Saccharomyces cerevisiae S288C: one gene and its partners. Changing the gene in region 3 together with the main gene of any one other region gives a genetic interaction. Each region holds a gene or a part of one and is shown on either strand. Other genes may lie near its edges.

Region 1 (3,619 bases), on a different chromosome or scaffold from region 3:
TTGGCCGATTGCAAAACCAACGTAAAACAGCGTATTTACAGTATTGTAAGTATTTTGGGTAAGACCTGTATCTTCAAAGAAGCCTAGAATCGAATCATAGGATAAAGTGGCTTTGTCCATGTAAAGTAAAAGGTTAATGGCAGAGACAAAGGTGAATATTGTGAGAAAAAGCTTTCTCTTTAATTTTTTTTCTTGTTCAGGCGTGATTTCTGGAACTGCTGCGTCATTCTCCTCCATGAATGCTAGCGTAACATCAGCGAGTCTCGAAGGAACTAGGATTTCATCAGAAGAGGAGATCGAGTCTGCTCCAATTTTTACGTCAACTTTTGACATTTCTTTTTTGTTATATTTTCTTTTTTATTTTCTCTTGATGTTTTGTTCAACCTTCAAGAAGTGCAACCTGAATAGCTAAATGTCGAATCAATCGTCTGTTTAAGTACTTTGATTTTTCCGACCTCTTCAATTCAACAGGTACGCATTTTTAACAATACCTATTCATCTTGACGTCCAGTTCCTAGGGACCTGCGAAATGTTTTAGCTATCTACATATTACATCACCGTTCCAGTGAGGGGAGCCACCGTAAATGGAAGAACTTCGAACACTATTGCATGCTGCAAAGACGTGCCTTCGATGCTCAGTGACTGAAATGTACAAGGGGTAGCCAGATGTCTTACATCAAATGGGGTGCCTATTTTTTTTTTCAGAAGCCACACATTTTTGTTTCTGCAATGCCACCTGCGACTTCGAAAAAGATTCGCGGAGAGTTAACAGTCATCGCCACAAGTCTGGTCCTTATCGGCCAATATGGGTGGCGCTATGTACGTTGTGTCACACTATTTTAGTCAGCAGCGCAGACCAAAGACTCCGTAACATCACAGAGAACTTTGATTATCCGTTATCTTGTTAAGTTTTCGCCGCAAAGCTCGGATGCTGAACTCGGATGTTGAACTCGGATGCTAAGAAGATATCCGTGATTTGCATCCGAGCTTGGCGTACTATTGCTATAGTGGTAGCCACAATTTAGAATTGATACTCGGAACCAGCAAGGGGCAGATGGATTGAATGTAGTTGATCGCGTGTCACGTGACCAAATCGTACTGGTAAAGAACTGAAAGCACACGCAAGTAGACAAAATCAGCATGTCATTTTTTCTGAAGAAATCTTTCATAAAACTATGAGTCTTCCCAATCAGGTGTGGTGAATATCCAGATGCTCTGGCCAATCTGTAACATGGTGAGGCTTAAGAAATTTTTTACATACTGGTCAGAGCACGATTGATGGTGCCATGACTTTCCGCTTTCGCCATTGCGAAGGGTGTTGCATAGTGTATACAAAATGCATGATACATAACATCTCAGAAGGACAGATATGAAAGGCCTAATTGTCGGAAGCAAAAGTCAGAGCTCACGTCCATACAATTGAGTTGTGCTGATTAAGGATTTCAAGGGCGAGCGCGCATCTAGTTAGCCGAAGGAAAGCGGGCTTGGCATCTGGAATCTGTTCATTTTTGAAGTCATATGATTTTTCATGCCATATATTTATCACAACGCAAAGCATTTACAACCAAGTAACCAATGAGAACGGTGGCCCCGTGATAAAACCTCACGTATGACACACTGGAACATAATTTTATTGTTTTTCACCTCTTAGTGTTTTCTCTTTCGCGAGGCAAAATCTGAAGACATGAAATGCAATACTCTTATGCTGCGCCAATGACGGTAGCACTAGGGTATTGTGACGTTATGCAAAAAGAGAGAGAAAGAACAATATGAAAATAGAGAGGACGGACATAAGTCTTCCGTGGAAGAAAGAAACCATCGTTTTTGCAGATGAGATTCTTTTTCCAATGCGGAAATTAGCGGAACTTCTCAACATAATAGATTGTGCTGGAAAAAGTTTAAAGGGAAAGCCGCGGATTTAATTTGCCATTAGTTCTTGGCTTTCCTGAAGATATGATTACTAACACAAGGATATTAAGGAAAAAAAGTAGGCGATGAAGACCCTCAAGTACTCAACTAACGTATAAATAACGGCTCCCGCTTCTATCAACTATGCTTACAATCACTCTTGTATTCATAAGCGCTAAGGCGTGATAACTCAACTTTTACAAAAGAAAATAAAAAAGAGATCAAAAAATGAAAGTATTTATAACTGGTGCTTCTGGCTTCATTGGTTCTGCCGTATTATCTGAACTAATATCCTCGGGTCATGAAGTTGTTGGCTTGGCAAGGTCAGACGAGGCTGCTGCAAAGATTAAGTCGATTGATCCTGCTGCAAAAATCCTTCGCGGTGATCTCAAGGATCTGGAAATTTTGAAAAAAGGTGCCACTGAATCTGATGGCGTTATTCATTTAGGATTTGTGCATGATTTTAAAAATTTTGAACAGTGCTGCGAAATTGACCGTCAGGCCACTGTAGCTATGCTAGAGTCACTTAAAGGTTCTAACAAGCCTTTCTTATATACGAATGGTACACTTTCTTTGCGACCAAACAAAGTTGCTAACGAACAGGATGGTATTGATGAAGATTCCAAAATTTTGCGTGCTGTCACTGAACAGGTTGCCTTGAGTTACAAAGACAAAGGTGTTTCAGCAAGAATTGTCAGACTCCCATTCTCGGTTCATGGCAAGGGGGACAAGGCTTTTGTACCAATATTAATGAATATTGCCAAAGCTGCCGGAAAATCTGGCTATGTCGGACAAGGCACAAACGCTTGGGCGGCTGTACATCGTTTGGATACGGCTCCTCTGTTCAGACTTGTTTTAGAGAAAGGAAAAACAGGACAAGTGTATCATTGCGTTGGTGAACAAGGTATACCATTCAAAGATATTGCGCGTGTGATTGGAGAAATTTTGAATGTTCCCGTGGCCTCTATCCCTGTTGATGACGCGGAAAGTCATTTTGGCTTCCTCACTTGTTTTGTCACTAGAGATGGCCCAGTTTCAAGCGAAGGTACCAGAAAAGAGCTGGGATGGCAGCCACAACAAATCGGTCTTCTTGAAGATATCCGTGCGAACTATAGCTTAAACTGACTTGAAGCTTATATTATGCGTTTTTTCTAAGAGCGCCATAGCATGTAACGTTTTTTACATACTAGTTAGCTTTATCTATATAGTCTACTGTGCAGCTTAAAATACCCAACTCATGCGTCTCATTGGACGAGCTCTTGGCCCTTGGAAAGGTGCTATATTAGTATATAGGGGAATGATGACAAAAGCCTCAATGTGGCTTGAGTCGATTTCTTATTTGGCGCCACAGGGCACATGGAGTTTATTTATCATACTACTAACATAAAGAAGGTATGTAGGCAATACAACAAGAATGCTGGAAAAGTTAAGGAGTCAGTAACAGTTCTTGATGACAGAAACATATAAAAAGGTGTACTATTGCTGTATAATCGGCCCTTTCATACTTGTACAAACATAGCACAGTAACCCAGTTAAAATATGTCTCCTGCAGCAGCTCAAACAGCAATCCCTCTTCCATCTACCGATTTACCAGTCAAAATCATTACAAATGGGTTGAAAAACCTGAATTATACCTCCAAGCAAGGTTACGGGAATTTTGATACCCATTTTTATGATGGCCAAGATGAGGTCTCTCCATCTGGTTTATTGA
Region 2 (3,571 bases), on a different chromosome or scaffold from region 3:
TTATGTTCTGGATTTAAGGTTGATTCACAATTTTTCATCACCAAAATCTGGTGGCATGCCTAGTTGTCTGGTTTCAGGCAATTTAGCCATCATAGAAAAGCATCCTCTGTCTTGAGTTGAGAAAATGTTACTCATAGAGCCAAACAAATAAACCCTGGAATTAAAATATAGTTTAAACACAACTTCATATTACACTGTAAATACATATCACAATAATAAATTAACGAAATAGTAAGACCTTATGTTTCTATATGACATCAGTCCCGAATAGTGTCAATTTTTTGTCGTCAGTGTCGAACATTTTTACTGTTTATTCATCATATCGTGAGGTATGTAGGCATCTTCTATTGACTTAAGCATGATAAAAGATTCACCCAAAACTGTATCGAAATATTGATAAAATTAAATTTCAAAGTCAAACTTGTTTTCAATGGTTGCTATTTTCTTACCATTCGAGCTCTCCCTCAGGATTTTTTCACATGGAATGTTCATGGCCTCAATTTCCATGGGCTTTTTGCATTTATCTCCTTTAATTAATTGTAATGGCTCTAATGATACAGTTTCGCCATTAGCTTTGTCACATATATCGGAAAGGGCAATCTGATCATAATCTGGTATACAGTCACCCTTTGCATCTCTAACAAATTCAGAAGAGCATTCGTAGTCGGATTCAGTACAACTGTCACAAGGTATTTCATGCAAAATCATATCTTTGAATGTCCTTTTTACCAAACAACGGGCGTCCTGTTTCCTCCTTTTATACATGTATTTGGCGCCATTAAGGCATTTCCCATCTGCCAAATTCCAGTCTTCGAAATCTTCCTCTTCACACGTTTTATAGTCAAAATGCAGCAGAAAAATCGATCGCATACAGGACACTTCTTGCAATATATGAGATGTTGGTGTTGTTTCCTTCTTGACTAGCCGTAGTAATGAGATGTCCGCTTAAAATAAATTTTGAGCCTGATCCATCTGGCGTTGTATTAATCAACTCTAATGGATGGATATAAAATAAAGCGTCAACAAGCTCATATTGATTCCATGTTCTACCTTGGTCCAAGGAAAAATAAAGTTTGGATTGTACATCACCATCTTTATATGAAGGAGACGGGATATATACAATAATATTTCCCAGATCACCAGTAGCATATAATCCAGAAGAATTATGGGCCACCCTCCATGTTAGACCACCGTCTCTAGAAATGAAAGTTTTTCGGTCCTTCCGATCGAATTCATTGTCATCGCCAACAGAACCTGTCATTAATATGATCCCAGCAGAAGGATTTGAAAGTTTTAGATTGTAAAAATAACCCTGAAGTGAACATCTCTCAGGCCTAGTGATATCACAGCCGAACGAATCGGCATTTTCTTCATCAACAACTTTCAAATTTGACCATGTGAGGCCGTTATCAACGGATATTTTGGTTTCTCCTCCGGCTATATTTTCAGTATAGTTTACTTGGTGATTAGAATAGTCAATGGAAGGATGAAACGATCCAAATATTGTCCCTTTCAAGAAATCAGGAAAAGTGAGCCTAAAATTTCCAAACTGATGGTTTGGTGTCCATTCAACAGGTGAGAATTTCAACCCTTGCGAATCTGATATGAAAATCTCTGAGAGATCTGGATCAGCATTTTCCTCATTTGTGATTTCTGTCGATATAAGAAGGATGATCCTTCCGATAGAATCTTCACGAATTTTAATCACTTTGACGTGCCGTAATTGAGTAGGCAGCTGTGCCTTTTGAAAAGTAGATGCATCATTGGATATCCAGATGTCCGTAGATGACATCTCGTTATGCCCGTCATCTTGCGTTAAAACGACCACATATGACTTCAATATCTTGTATTGAGTAACAATCTTATCTTTAAATTCATCAAAATCTTTAAACGTTTTGCCTCCATCACTACTGAAAGCCAACTGTGTGTAGGTAGCAGTTAAGCGATATTCTTCATCGTATTCACGGTTAGAGAACAAACAGAGTATCGAAGTATCATTACCAGTAAAGTCAGAATCCTTGCTAGACTTAATGAAATGACAGCTTTAAGTTGTTATATCGTCGTCTTTTTTCTTTTCCAAGGAAGGTTTAATTTTAAAAAAGGATTCCCATCATTGCTCAAGTAAATTTCACTTGGGTCATATAAAACGTCTGCGTCTATCATATAGCTATAGCAATTCGCAATAAGAAGTTCTTTGTTTCTAGGATGAGTAGTTATAAAACAGTCGCCATCTAAATATTCTTCTGATGAGGGTATAGTTAAAGCCCTCCATGACTCCCCACGGTCGTCGGTAATGTAGAATTTGGGTGATTCACATATAAAAGCGAAACCTCTTTCCTGTCCATGGAAAGGATCAACAGTAAATCTGAAAATGCGCTCTTCAATTTCTTTGACCGTTTCCCAATTTTCTCCAGCGTCGAAACTTATCCATACAACCCCCCAACCATCTAATCTGATAGAAGTGTTGGAATCATCAAAACTCACTAGATTAAATGATGTTTCTATAGGAGCCTCCGTTACTTTTGGGACAAATTTCTCTGCATTGAGTAGCGGAAGTAGTATAATTACCCAAAGAGTATATATGGCATGAAGTAATATCATAATTGAGGATCTCTTACCTTTTCTTAGTTCAAAGTTTTTTTTCAAAGCTCGGAACTTTATGCTACAATTCAATGACTAAAAAAAAGGTAGCGGATAATCTTTTGGTTGCAAATTGGCGGCATTTAAATATATTTTGGGTTGCAAGTATTCTAAAAATATTCTCATAATATTCTAAAAATATCCAGTCTAGGTAATTGCAATTATTTTGAGTCCGGTGACTTTGAGTTGACCATGTTCACTTCCTGTACAGCCATCAAGGTAACGTGTTTACCATCTAATGGAGAAAACCAAGAGATAAGACTAGAAACCTAGTTAGGATACTTGGATTTGCTAATGTCGCCAGTAGTACGATAATACCATAAAGATACGCTGTTGAACCTGATTTGTATATTTAAAGAATGGGAATCTTTAAGGGATCATAGTCTAGAATGGTATTCTGCAGAATAGATTTTAAATGGTGAAAACTTTCCCTCACTATGTCCAATTGATGCTTTTTAGGATGACGTTAGAATTTTATTCTGGTGAAGGCACTTTTAATATGAAGATTCGTTGAAGTATCAATAACCTTTTATTGGCATACCCTTACCTAACTGGTCTCTCTCACCTCGTGATGTTACGAACGCCACGATTATTCTCAAACTAGGTAAAGATTTTTTCTTCAAAATTAGTGGGAAAGACTCGACAGACCCGCTTACCAGGTATTCTTTCTAAACAATAGGGTTTACCAGTACCCCTGAAAATGATAATGCCCATGTGCGGCTGATCGCGTTAACTACGTATGCAGTTGAATCAAAGCCATACCACAGAAAATGGTACAAGAGCCCACTGGATAGAATAGTGCTGGCTATCAAACCAATATTTTCTTTCCAGCTCTTGGGGGACCTCTACTGCGTTATATCGTAGTTTCCATTCAGCCTGCTTATCGCCTTAGGAAAAGGGAATGTAAGAGGCAGAAAAGTGCGGCGCAATC
Region 3 (5,769 bases):
TTTTGAAAAATGCTCGAAAAATAAAGAAAGAAGTCAGTCCCTTGTTTTAGCAAAGTGATAATTTGTGAAATATGACACAAGTAGAAGATAAACCTTTACACGCAGAAATAACAGCGGATTATATTTTGATTCTTAGATTTCCTAATTTCGTGAACTTTTAACTAAGAAGGAAAAAACAATTGAGATGAGATCCAAATGGGAGGAGTTTTGAAACAATTGTTTGCTATTATTTCAATGATTTAGTGTTGCCACCAGATGGGTCTATTTTCTGTAAAACTACCGGTTCGAGGCTCCTGCCGTAACCTTAATTGTACTTTTCTATGATTTAATCCAAATAACCATTCCATTCCTCTTTAAGTCTAAGAAACATTAAAAAACAAAAAACACCACGTCCGGGTAATGAAAATATAACGCTGGGTAATGCACGTGTTGATAATTACATCGTTTTTCACTAATATCGTACCAAACGAGATGTTTGCAGAAAGAACAAACCAATATTTTAAATAATCAAAAATCAAATTAGCTATTATTTCTCATTTGGTGATAATAATATATACATACATATATATATATATATATAAATATATAGGTATATATATAAATAACCTAAGACAAGTTAAATGAGTATAAAAAACCTTGAACGTAAATGAAAAAAAAAAAAATACTAGTAAATTGACAACATAAAAGACAAAAATAAATGAAAGAGGAAAGTGGTAATAAAGTGGTTAAAATTTGTTGTAGTTGTAGATAGGAGGAGTCCGCGTAGACAGTTATTCAAATTCAATTGAGGAAGAAAAATAGATTTCAAAGAATACTGGGAATTTGTTAATCGAGAAGTGTTTAAATTTCACTCCTAAATCCAAAAGTACCGCCAGAAATACTTTTTCTCACTCTACCCATGAAACTTTGTTTACCAGCCTGTTCCTCACCTTGCTCGTCGTCATGGTAATCTTGCTCACCCTCATCGGAACCGTACTGATGATGTCTTGGAGTGTGCTCGGCTGAATGAGTAGAATTATTATAGTCGTAGTCAGACCCTTTTGAAGAATTCTGTCTGCTGTGACGGTGATGATTGTGATGATGTTTTGATTTTCCGGAACCCATTGAACCCACCGACACTTTCCTTCCCTGAGAAGTTGTTTCATTATGAATTGAATAGGAAGTGGTTTCTGGGTAGGTGCCCTCAGATGGCTTTTGAGAACTAGAGGTGTTGGTGTCTTTAAATCCGTATGTTGGGACATGTGGGTCAATCAAACTAGGGAAATTACCAACTTCGGCAGCATAAGCGTTTGAGGCGTCGGCACCACCAAGGTCGGTTCTACGTTTGTTCTTCAAATCTACTTCACGCTTGTAGCCCGGTGCGTCTTCCTCTAAAACTTTCGCATTCTTATTGACATCAATATTATCGTCGCTAGAATATTCTTGATTTTGGGAATTGCCGCCAGAACCGTAACTGGCCTTTTGTTCTGATGATGGTTCCTGATCGTGAGTCATTCCAGTAATATCTTGTGATTTGGCATATGTAGGGTCCGCATTTTTAATATTATCGTAAGCAGCTGTTTCAGCATCCCCTGATTTGGAGTATGTAGTGTCTCCAGATCTGGAATTATCAAAGGCAGCAACATTAGCGTTTTCGAGATGAGTGTCTGTATTTTTACTATCATCAAAAGGGTTCGAGCTGAAGGTCTTGGATTTTGCACCCATCCTTCCGGTTGTATCTACGTTTCCAGTAGTACCTGTTTCCGGATTATTGGTGAAATCCTTGGCATCGGATGCAATATCCTGTGTTGTTTTTGCTCTTCTTGGCTCAATTTGGTCAATAAAATTAGAACGCGTTGGAGTTGGGCCTGATTTATTTTTGCTTAAATCAGATAATTTTTTGTTACCAGAAGTATTCGAGTATTCGTAATTGCCAAGACTCTCATCTCTTGCAGTCTCCATACCAGCACGGTTAGTGGTTTGCCTTGGAGACAACGGGTCTTCATCTTGTTTTTGCACTGATTTTGACAACGTATCAGGTTCAAAAGTACCTGGGATTTTCTCTCTCTGCTCATAATTGTAATCCGATGGTTTTCCCTGGTACGCTTTCTTAGAATACAAGTCGTTTTTCTTTGCATTTGAGTAGTCGTCAATATCATTCTCGTGGTAGTCTTCAACATCATCCAAATAATCCAACCCATATTGATGAGGTTTAGTAGAATCTTCATTCATATCTTCGTCCTTCATAGCAGGTGATACAACATTGTTTCGGGTGGTGGCATCATTAGAAAGCCCGGACCATTCTGCTTCATGACGGGGTGACATGTCAATATTGTTGTTCGTATTTTGAGAACCAGCTTGTGAACCGGCAACATATTGCAAGTTATCCCTACCATTATCATTATACTTCATATGTCCTAATTCGGTTCCCGCTTTAGGCATATTCTGAGATCCAGATGTACCGCTGTCGAATTTCTCCTTCATACTAGAAGGTATAACAACATCCTGCAGATTCTTATTTTTACCAGCGCTGGAACTATATTCAATTGGACCCCAATTAGAATCCGTCTTGGATTTAATGTTTTTCTGTTGATAATCATCGGCGGATTCCAGAATGTCATCTCTTTCAATGTTAAATTTTTCAGCCGCTCTTTCTGATATATTTTTATTATCAACCTTATTCTTTTCTGGGTGTTGAATGTTTTTATTGCTATCATGATAAGAAGGTTGCTGGCTTACAAAACCACTTGTCCCGACTGCTGCTTTGGGTTCAGGTTCCATAGTTTGCTGTTGGATTGCATCAGAACCAGAAACTTGGTCATTTTTCAATCCAGTTTGTTCGCTCTCATCCATCTTCACGTTCTGTGCAATTTCTTTAATTGTATCTTGAGGAGGACCAGTCGCAGTGTTGCCAGAGTACTTTCTACGATCTGCAGACTTCGAACTTGTGTCCGTGTAGACACTAGGGTCGACAGCGTTCATACCGGAACTAACATTACTCTTTGGGCCTGTACTTGTGTAAACACTAGGATCAACAGGGTTCACATCAGTACCAGTCATGCCCCGGAAACTACCAGGTATGACATCTCGATCTGAGTTGGAATCAGTGTTCGAATAACCCTTCGTAGCTGAGGAGTTATCTTTAACACTTGTATGTCCATGAGTAACTGAAGGGTTAGTTTTAGTACTGGAATGATCCTGTGCAGCAGCGGTGGATTTAGGACCAGTGCTTGAACCAGAGTGACCATGGCTAACAGGGTGGGTAGTTTTGACGTTGATATGTCCATGTGTAGTTGCAGTGGCTGATGGACCAGTATTCGCTTTAGAATGCTCATGAGTATTGGTAGGAGATGTGGTTTTCACACTGGCATGACCATGTGTGTGAGTGACAGGGGAAGTGGTAGCACTGGAATGACCATGCGTGTGAGTAACAGGAGAAGTGGCAGCTTTGGAAGTGCTGTGGTTATGAGTGGTTGCAATACTTGGATGCCCTGCATCACCTTTGGAATGTCTATGCGCAGTGGGGGACGCCTTTATATTTGAATGTTCATGGCTAGTGGGAGGTGACGTTTTCACTTTGGATTGCTCACTTGTAGCAGCGGGTGTCGTTGTTTTGACATAAGAGTATCCATGGGTAGTAATAGTAGCATTAGGGCCAGAACTTGACTTGGTGTCGGCAGAAACAGGGTTCACATCAGAAGTTACGTTGGCACGGCGGTTAGCGTCCGCCTCAGTGTCTTCGTGTGGAGTTTCCGAGTCTTTATTATGCTTCTTCCTCCAAGGTAACAGAATGTTTTTAGCCTTGGTTTCCAAATTCTTGGACGTTGATTCGGGCTGTTCTTTTGGTAAGTTATATTCGGTCGGCTTTGTAGTACTGAAAGACTTTTTGCGTTGAGCAGAATCTGAATTGGAATCATAGGAACCGGGCTTACCACCAAACGAAAAATTATTTTGTTCTTCTTCGCCTTGACCATCTTTGGAAATGGACTCGTTCATATTCATATCTTGGGTTGGGTGATATTCTTGATAGCTCTCCACTGGGAAATCTTCACGGTGTTCGGTATTATTCTTATCTCTACAGTTACATATAAAAAAAGGTGTTTTTGAGTTAGTTAGTATTATATATTAATTTTCTTGAGGGGGTGGTATTATTAAAGAATTAAATTCAATATTATTACTATTAATTACACTAAGGTGCCGGGTATTATTGACGTTTTTTTTTTCTTAGTCTCTTTAATGAAGAAGGAAAAAGAACTAAGTTATTATTAGAAGGAAAAGGAGGAGGGGAGGCGAGAAAGAATGGTGGAGAATAAATGAAAATCTCCAAGAAAAAATTTCAGCACGATACATATGGATTATACCATGTCACAAAAAAATATTTCGGTTGGAGGTAGATGCAGAGTTATGGTACTGCGAATGTAGGAAGAAAAAAAAAATTAGGAAGTATTTTATGGTGATTATTTCCTTCCTAGTCGCGTACCGTCACTGGCCCGGCAAGACCACCATCCCCAGCTGGTTCTAACTCAGCTGATGGCACCTGCTTTCTTGTTTTCAGTTTTTGAAAGAACTTGCCATTGCCAGCCGGAGTAGTGGTGGTTGTAGGTTGAGGCTGTCCAACCACAGGTGCGGCTGTGATAGGGCCCGCGCCGTCCGTCGCCCCACTATTGTAAGTGGATTTCTCCATTTGAGCACCGGTGTCAACAGAAGGGCTTTCATATTGGGCATACATGTCGTGGTCCGAGTAGGTAGAGTGGGCCTTGTGGGTAGCACTGAATATAGTGGACCAAATGGCGTTCACGAGCATCAAGAAGACCGAAGTCCAGATGAACGCAAAGTTTTTGGGTCCCAGCCTTGCAGACCTCCCGCTGTTGCGGAAGGTCTTTCTGGCCTTCACATAGCAACCTGTGTACAAGCATGCAGCCAATATAATGAAGAAAAAGGCCAACCAGGACAACACACAGTACAGGACTGGCACTGCCTTGAAAGGAAGGAAGGTAGCCAGAAAGCCGGGTACCAGCGCCAGTACGATGAAAAATAGGGAAATCAGCAGCATGGCCCATCCAACCCTGGATAGATAATAGTAGGTATCCCGGTTGTTTCTGAACGACGATGGTAAATTGACAGAGTTACCAAAATTGTCTCTGGGAGAGAAAGGCTTGGCGGGCGCCCTGCTAGAGCAATTAGCTAGCTGGCCGTCTTCGTAGCCGCACCAATTGTAATTGTACCATCTCGTGGTCGATGGAGCGCTGTTAAAGCCGTTTGTATCAGCCTGTAACCAATAAAAATTTTTCAGCGTTCCAGATTCTCTGCCTCCTGACAGAATAAGAAAAAACGTCAATAAGCCAGCACCGAGTAGGAATAAAAACACAAGCAAATTAACGAACCTTTTGAAAATCATAGCGGTAGATTATAGTGATTAGTGTTACTTGTTACTTGGATAAAAAGGAAAGTATAAGCGTTAAACGTAAATACCTCTTTCTTTTTAATTCACTTCAAAATTACTGTACTTAAAGTTTGCATCTAACGGATAACTAATCAAGAGAACAAAGCAAGATCAAGTAACTGTTGCAAAGCAACCATCCTTTTATATGTCGGCATCTGCGCCGAATGCTCCTCCCCATTCCAGACTATCCTTGTTTTAGCATCAAGAAGGAAGGAAGACCTTTCATTGACTCTTGCTTCTTACCACTCCCCTCTTTCCCTTTTCCTTCGTGTGAAAACGTTCCACTCCCTTATATTCAGAGCACCCTTAAATTTGGTTATTTGGTCTTTTTTTTTTATATTACTCCG
Region 4 (3,678 bases), on a different chromosome or scaffold from region 3:
CCGTAAGCGTCGACGATGATCTTTCTACCGGTCAAACCAGCGTCACCTTGAGGACCACCGATGACGAATCTACCGGAAGGTTGGATAAAGTATTTGGTGTTTTCGTCCAACATGTCTCTTGGGATGACTTTTTCAATGATCTCGGACTTTAGTTGCGCTCTTAAGTCCTCGGTCGTGATTTCGTCAGCATGTTGAGCGGAGACGACGACGGTGTCGATTCTTTGTGGAACCCATCTACCGTGGTCATCCTTGTATTCGACGGTGACTTGAGTCTTGGTGTCTGGTCTCAACCACGCTAAAGAGCCATCTCTTCTCGCGTCAGCCATGGCCATGTTTAGTTTATGAGCCAAAAGAATAGTCAAAGGCAAACCCTCTGGAGTTTCATCTGTGGCGTAACCAAACATGATACCTTGGTCACCGGCACCGATGTCTTCCAAATCCTTCTCCTCGTGGACACCTTGGGCGATATCTGGAGATTGTTGCTCAATGGCGACAAGGACGTTACAGGTCTTATAGTCGAAACCCTTGGCGGAATCATCGTAACCAATCTTCTTGATGGTGTCTCTGACGATTTTTTGGTAATCCAACTGTGCCTTGGTAGTAATTTCACCAAAGACCATAATCATACCAGTCTTTGCCGCGGTTTCACACGCAACTTTGGAGTGAGGGTCCTCGGCTAAACAAGCGTCCAAGATGGCGTCGGAAACTTGGTCACAGATCTTATCTGGGTGACCTTCACCAACGGATTCAGAAGTGAATAAAAATGTACCGGCCATATTTTCGTTTATCTTATTTTTTCTTGTTTTTAGGGTAAATTCCTGGTTTTTACTCTATTTTTTTTTCGAAGCTAACCGAAAAACAACGATGAATAACAGACAACACCAGTCGATATATACGTCCCAAACCAATCCCATTAAGTACTAAACGGAAAACTTTTTACTCTTCCCTTTTTCATCGATACCAGAGTGAAAAACTACGATGAGGCTAAAATTTCCTCGAGACAAGAACCCGAAAAAAGAAATGCACTAGTAGGCAAGGGCGCCACCACAGTTTTCCTGTGAAAAAAAAAAAAGAAAGTATTCGTGTGTAGTGATATATAACTTTATCTTCAAATTCTATTTCCGTCTTACGTCCGTTTCGGTACCTTTTTTTCAAAAGATCTTGCCTGACATTTTTTTGAACAATATAAAAGTGCCAAGCGTGCTCATTATTGGAAGTGCGCACCAGGTGAGGAATTGAATGTTGCCATCAATTGTTTGAGTAAACACTGCCCATCTGCCACTTTCGGTACCCATCCGAGTACTTAGTAATAGAAATATATATTATGTCTAGTGCCATCGTTGCTAAACTGAACAAAGAGGACATCATTAAGGACACCGTCAAGGACTTGGCGTTCGAGATTCTTGGTGAGTTGTCGGTTTCGTACGTTGATTCTGACGACATCAAATTGGGCAATCCCATGCCAATGGAAGCTACGCAAGCCGCTCCTACCATCAAGTTCACGCCCTTCGATAAAAGCCAATTGTCAGCCGAGGATAAACTCGCTTTGTTGATGACTGACCCGGACGCGCCCTCTAGAACAGAACATAAGTGGTCGGAGGTTTGTCACTACATCATCACTGATATTCCTGTCGAGTACGGACCTGGGGGAGATATTGCCATTTCGGGGAAGGGTGTCGTGAGAAATAACTATATTGGGCCTGGTCCACCAAAGAACTCCGGTTATCACAGATACGTGTTCTTCCTGTGCAAGCAACCCAAGGGAGCGGATTCGTCCACTTTTACCAAGGTTGAGAACATTATCTCCTGGGGGTACGGTACTCCTGGTGCGGGTGCCTATGACTATATCAAGGAGAACAATCTGCAACTGGTCGGTGCCAATTATTACATGGTCGAAAACACGACCGTTGATTTCAACTATGACATGTAAGGTGCAGCAACCGGCTCGTATAGATACGGATAAGATAGAGTATATTGTGCAAACGCGTATATGAAATAGTGAATATATACATGCCGAACGGTTCCGTTTTTTTTTTTTTTGGCTCGTTGATTTTTCCTATCCCTTTGAACTTTTCTATCTTTTAAGGGATAGAGGGGCTGTTCAGGGAAGGAAAGATCTCAATTGGTATATAAAAAGGGGGCAGCAAGAAACGAATTGCAGTGCTCCTTTTCCCTACCAGTGCATCAATACAAGAACAAGAGAACAAGCAAAAAACATGAACCAAGCAATAGACTTCGCACAAGCAAGCATTGACTCCTACAAGAAGCACGGCATTCTGGAGGATGTAATTCATGACACAAGCTTTCAACCCTCCGGGATACTTGCCGTAGAGTACTCATCAAGTGCACCTGTTGCCATGGGTAACACGCTGCCCACTGAGAAGGCACGTTCCAAGCCCCAATTCCAGTTCACGTTCAATAAGCAAATGCAAAAAAGCGTACCACAGGCGAATGCGTACGTTCCCCAAGACGACGATTTGTTCACACTGGTAATGACCGATCCGGATGCTCCCTCTAAGACAGATCACAAGTGGTCTGAATTCTGCCACTTGGTAGAATGCGACTTAAAGCTGTTGAATGAGGCTACTCACGAGACCTCCGGAGCAACCGAATTTTTTGCATCAGAGTTCAATACGAAGGGCTCGAACACACTAATAGAATATATGGGACCAGCTCCACCCAAGGGATCCGGTCCCCACAGATATGTTTTCTTGTTATATAAGCAGCCTAAGGGCGTGGACTCATCTAAGTTCTCGAAAATTAAGGATAGACCGAACTGGGGTTACGGCACCCCTGCCACCGGTGTTGGCAAATGGGCTAAGGAAAACAACCTGCAACTAGTTGCCTCCAATTTCTTCTATGCGGAAACGAAATAGGTATATATATATATATATGTATATGTATTTATTTTTTAGATTTCAGTGCTTTTCACTTGACTTTTTATTATTTTTGTTTTATTTATGTTTTTGTCACAAACGCGCACATGTTTGTAGGGAGTAATGTCATTGTCAAACAAAACACATAAGAAAAACATGGTGAGATTATTAAAAAAGTGTATAAGTTTATAAAATGTTTATAATGATTATATAAGTTTGGGTTAGCCGAACAAAACCTTCACCAATTCCATATAAACACCGATCTGGAAGTCGTCCAGTTTCAAGCGATTCAGTTCAGGGGCCACGACAATTCCAGTGTTGTCCATGGAATAGTGGGACATCATATCCTGATACATCTCCCACTCAAACTTGTTTGAATCATAAAATTTGGAATCTATCGATAAATTGTTCGGTATAGCACAAAGCCAAATTCTTGTTTTGTAAAACTTAAAGAGTTCTTTGATCAGGTCTCTGAAATCATTACGCTCCTGGCAAATGTAGTAGAAAGTCAATTTCTTTCTGTCGAATTGGAACTCTGCATTCAATATTTTGATGTTCAACCCGCCACCGGAGTTATTGTTATTTAGCGACCTCAGTTTTAGCTGTGCAATGTGAAGAGCCTTTAGCTCATCCTGGAATTTGTTGTGTAAATTCGTGGAGGATTCCCACGGGGTGGCAAATCTCAGAACCTGCTTTGATGGGATGATCAATTGCGTTAGTTCAATGATATCATATAACTTCGGATTCAACTCATGAGCGACCGGCTTACCATTGGTTGTATCAACCAGAGTCTTGATAAACT

What was found.
Region 1: mutations in HBT1 (region 3) and YLL056C together harm fitness more than expected from each alone (negative genetic interaction), as found in Saccharomyces cerevisiae (one large-scale study listed by BioGRID).
Region 2: mutations in HBT1 (region 3) and EMA35 together harm fitness more than expected from each alone (negative genetic interaction), as found in Saccharomyces cerevisiae (one large-scale study listed by BioGRID).
Region 4: mutations in HBT1 (region 3) and TFS1 together harm fitness more than expected from each alone (negative genetic interaction), as found in Saccharomyces cerevisiae (one large-scale study listed by BioGRID).

What each region holds. Positions count from the first base shown.
Region 1 is NC_001144.5:26,823-30,441, reverse strand, and holds YLL056C (uncharacterized protein), read left to right. Parts: upstream 1-2,136; coding exon 2,137-3,033; downstream 3,034-3,619. Other genes in the region: YCT1 (Yct1p), read right to left, coding at 1-333; JLP1 (sulfonate dioxygenase), read left to right, coding at 3,448-3,619.
Region 2 is NC_001135.5:300,430-304,000, forward strand, and holds EMA35 (Ema35p), read right to left. Parts: upstream 1,793-3,571; coding exon 842-1,792; downstream 1-841. Other genes in the region: YCR099C (uncharacterized protein), read right to left, coding at 403-870; YCR101C (uncharacterized protein), read right to left, coding at 2,053-2,601.
Region 3 is NC_001136.10:56,425-62,193, forward strand, and holds HBT1 (Hbt1p), read right to left. Parts: upstream 3,982-5,769; coding exon 841-3,981; downstream 1-840. Other genes in the region: FMP45 (Fmp45p), read right to left, coding at 4,448-5,377. UniProt on the Saccharomyces cerevisiae protein: Polarity-determining protein which forms a conjugate with the ubiquitin-like modifier HUB1. Involved in bud site selection and cellular morphogenesis during conjugation. Required for survival during stationary phase.
Region 4 is NC_001144.5:512,360-516,037, reverse strand, and holds TFS1 (Tfs1p), read left to right. Parts: upstream 1-2,216; coding exon 2,217-2,876; downstream 2,877-3,678. Other genes in the region: methionine adenosyltransferase SAM1, read right to left, coding at 1-776; YLR179C (uncharacterized protein), read left to right, coding at 1,325-1,930; YLR177W (uncharacterized protein), read right to left, coding at 3,098-3,678. UniProt on the Saccharomyces cerevisiae protein: Specific and potent inhibitor of carboxypeptidase Y.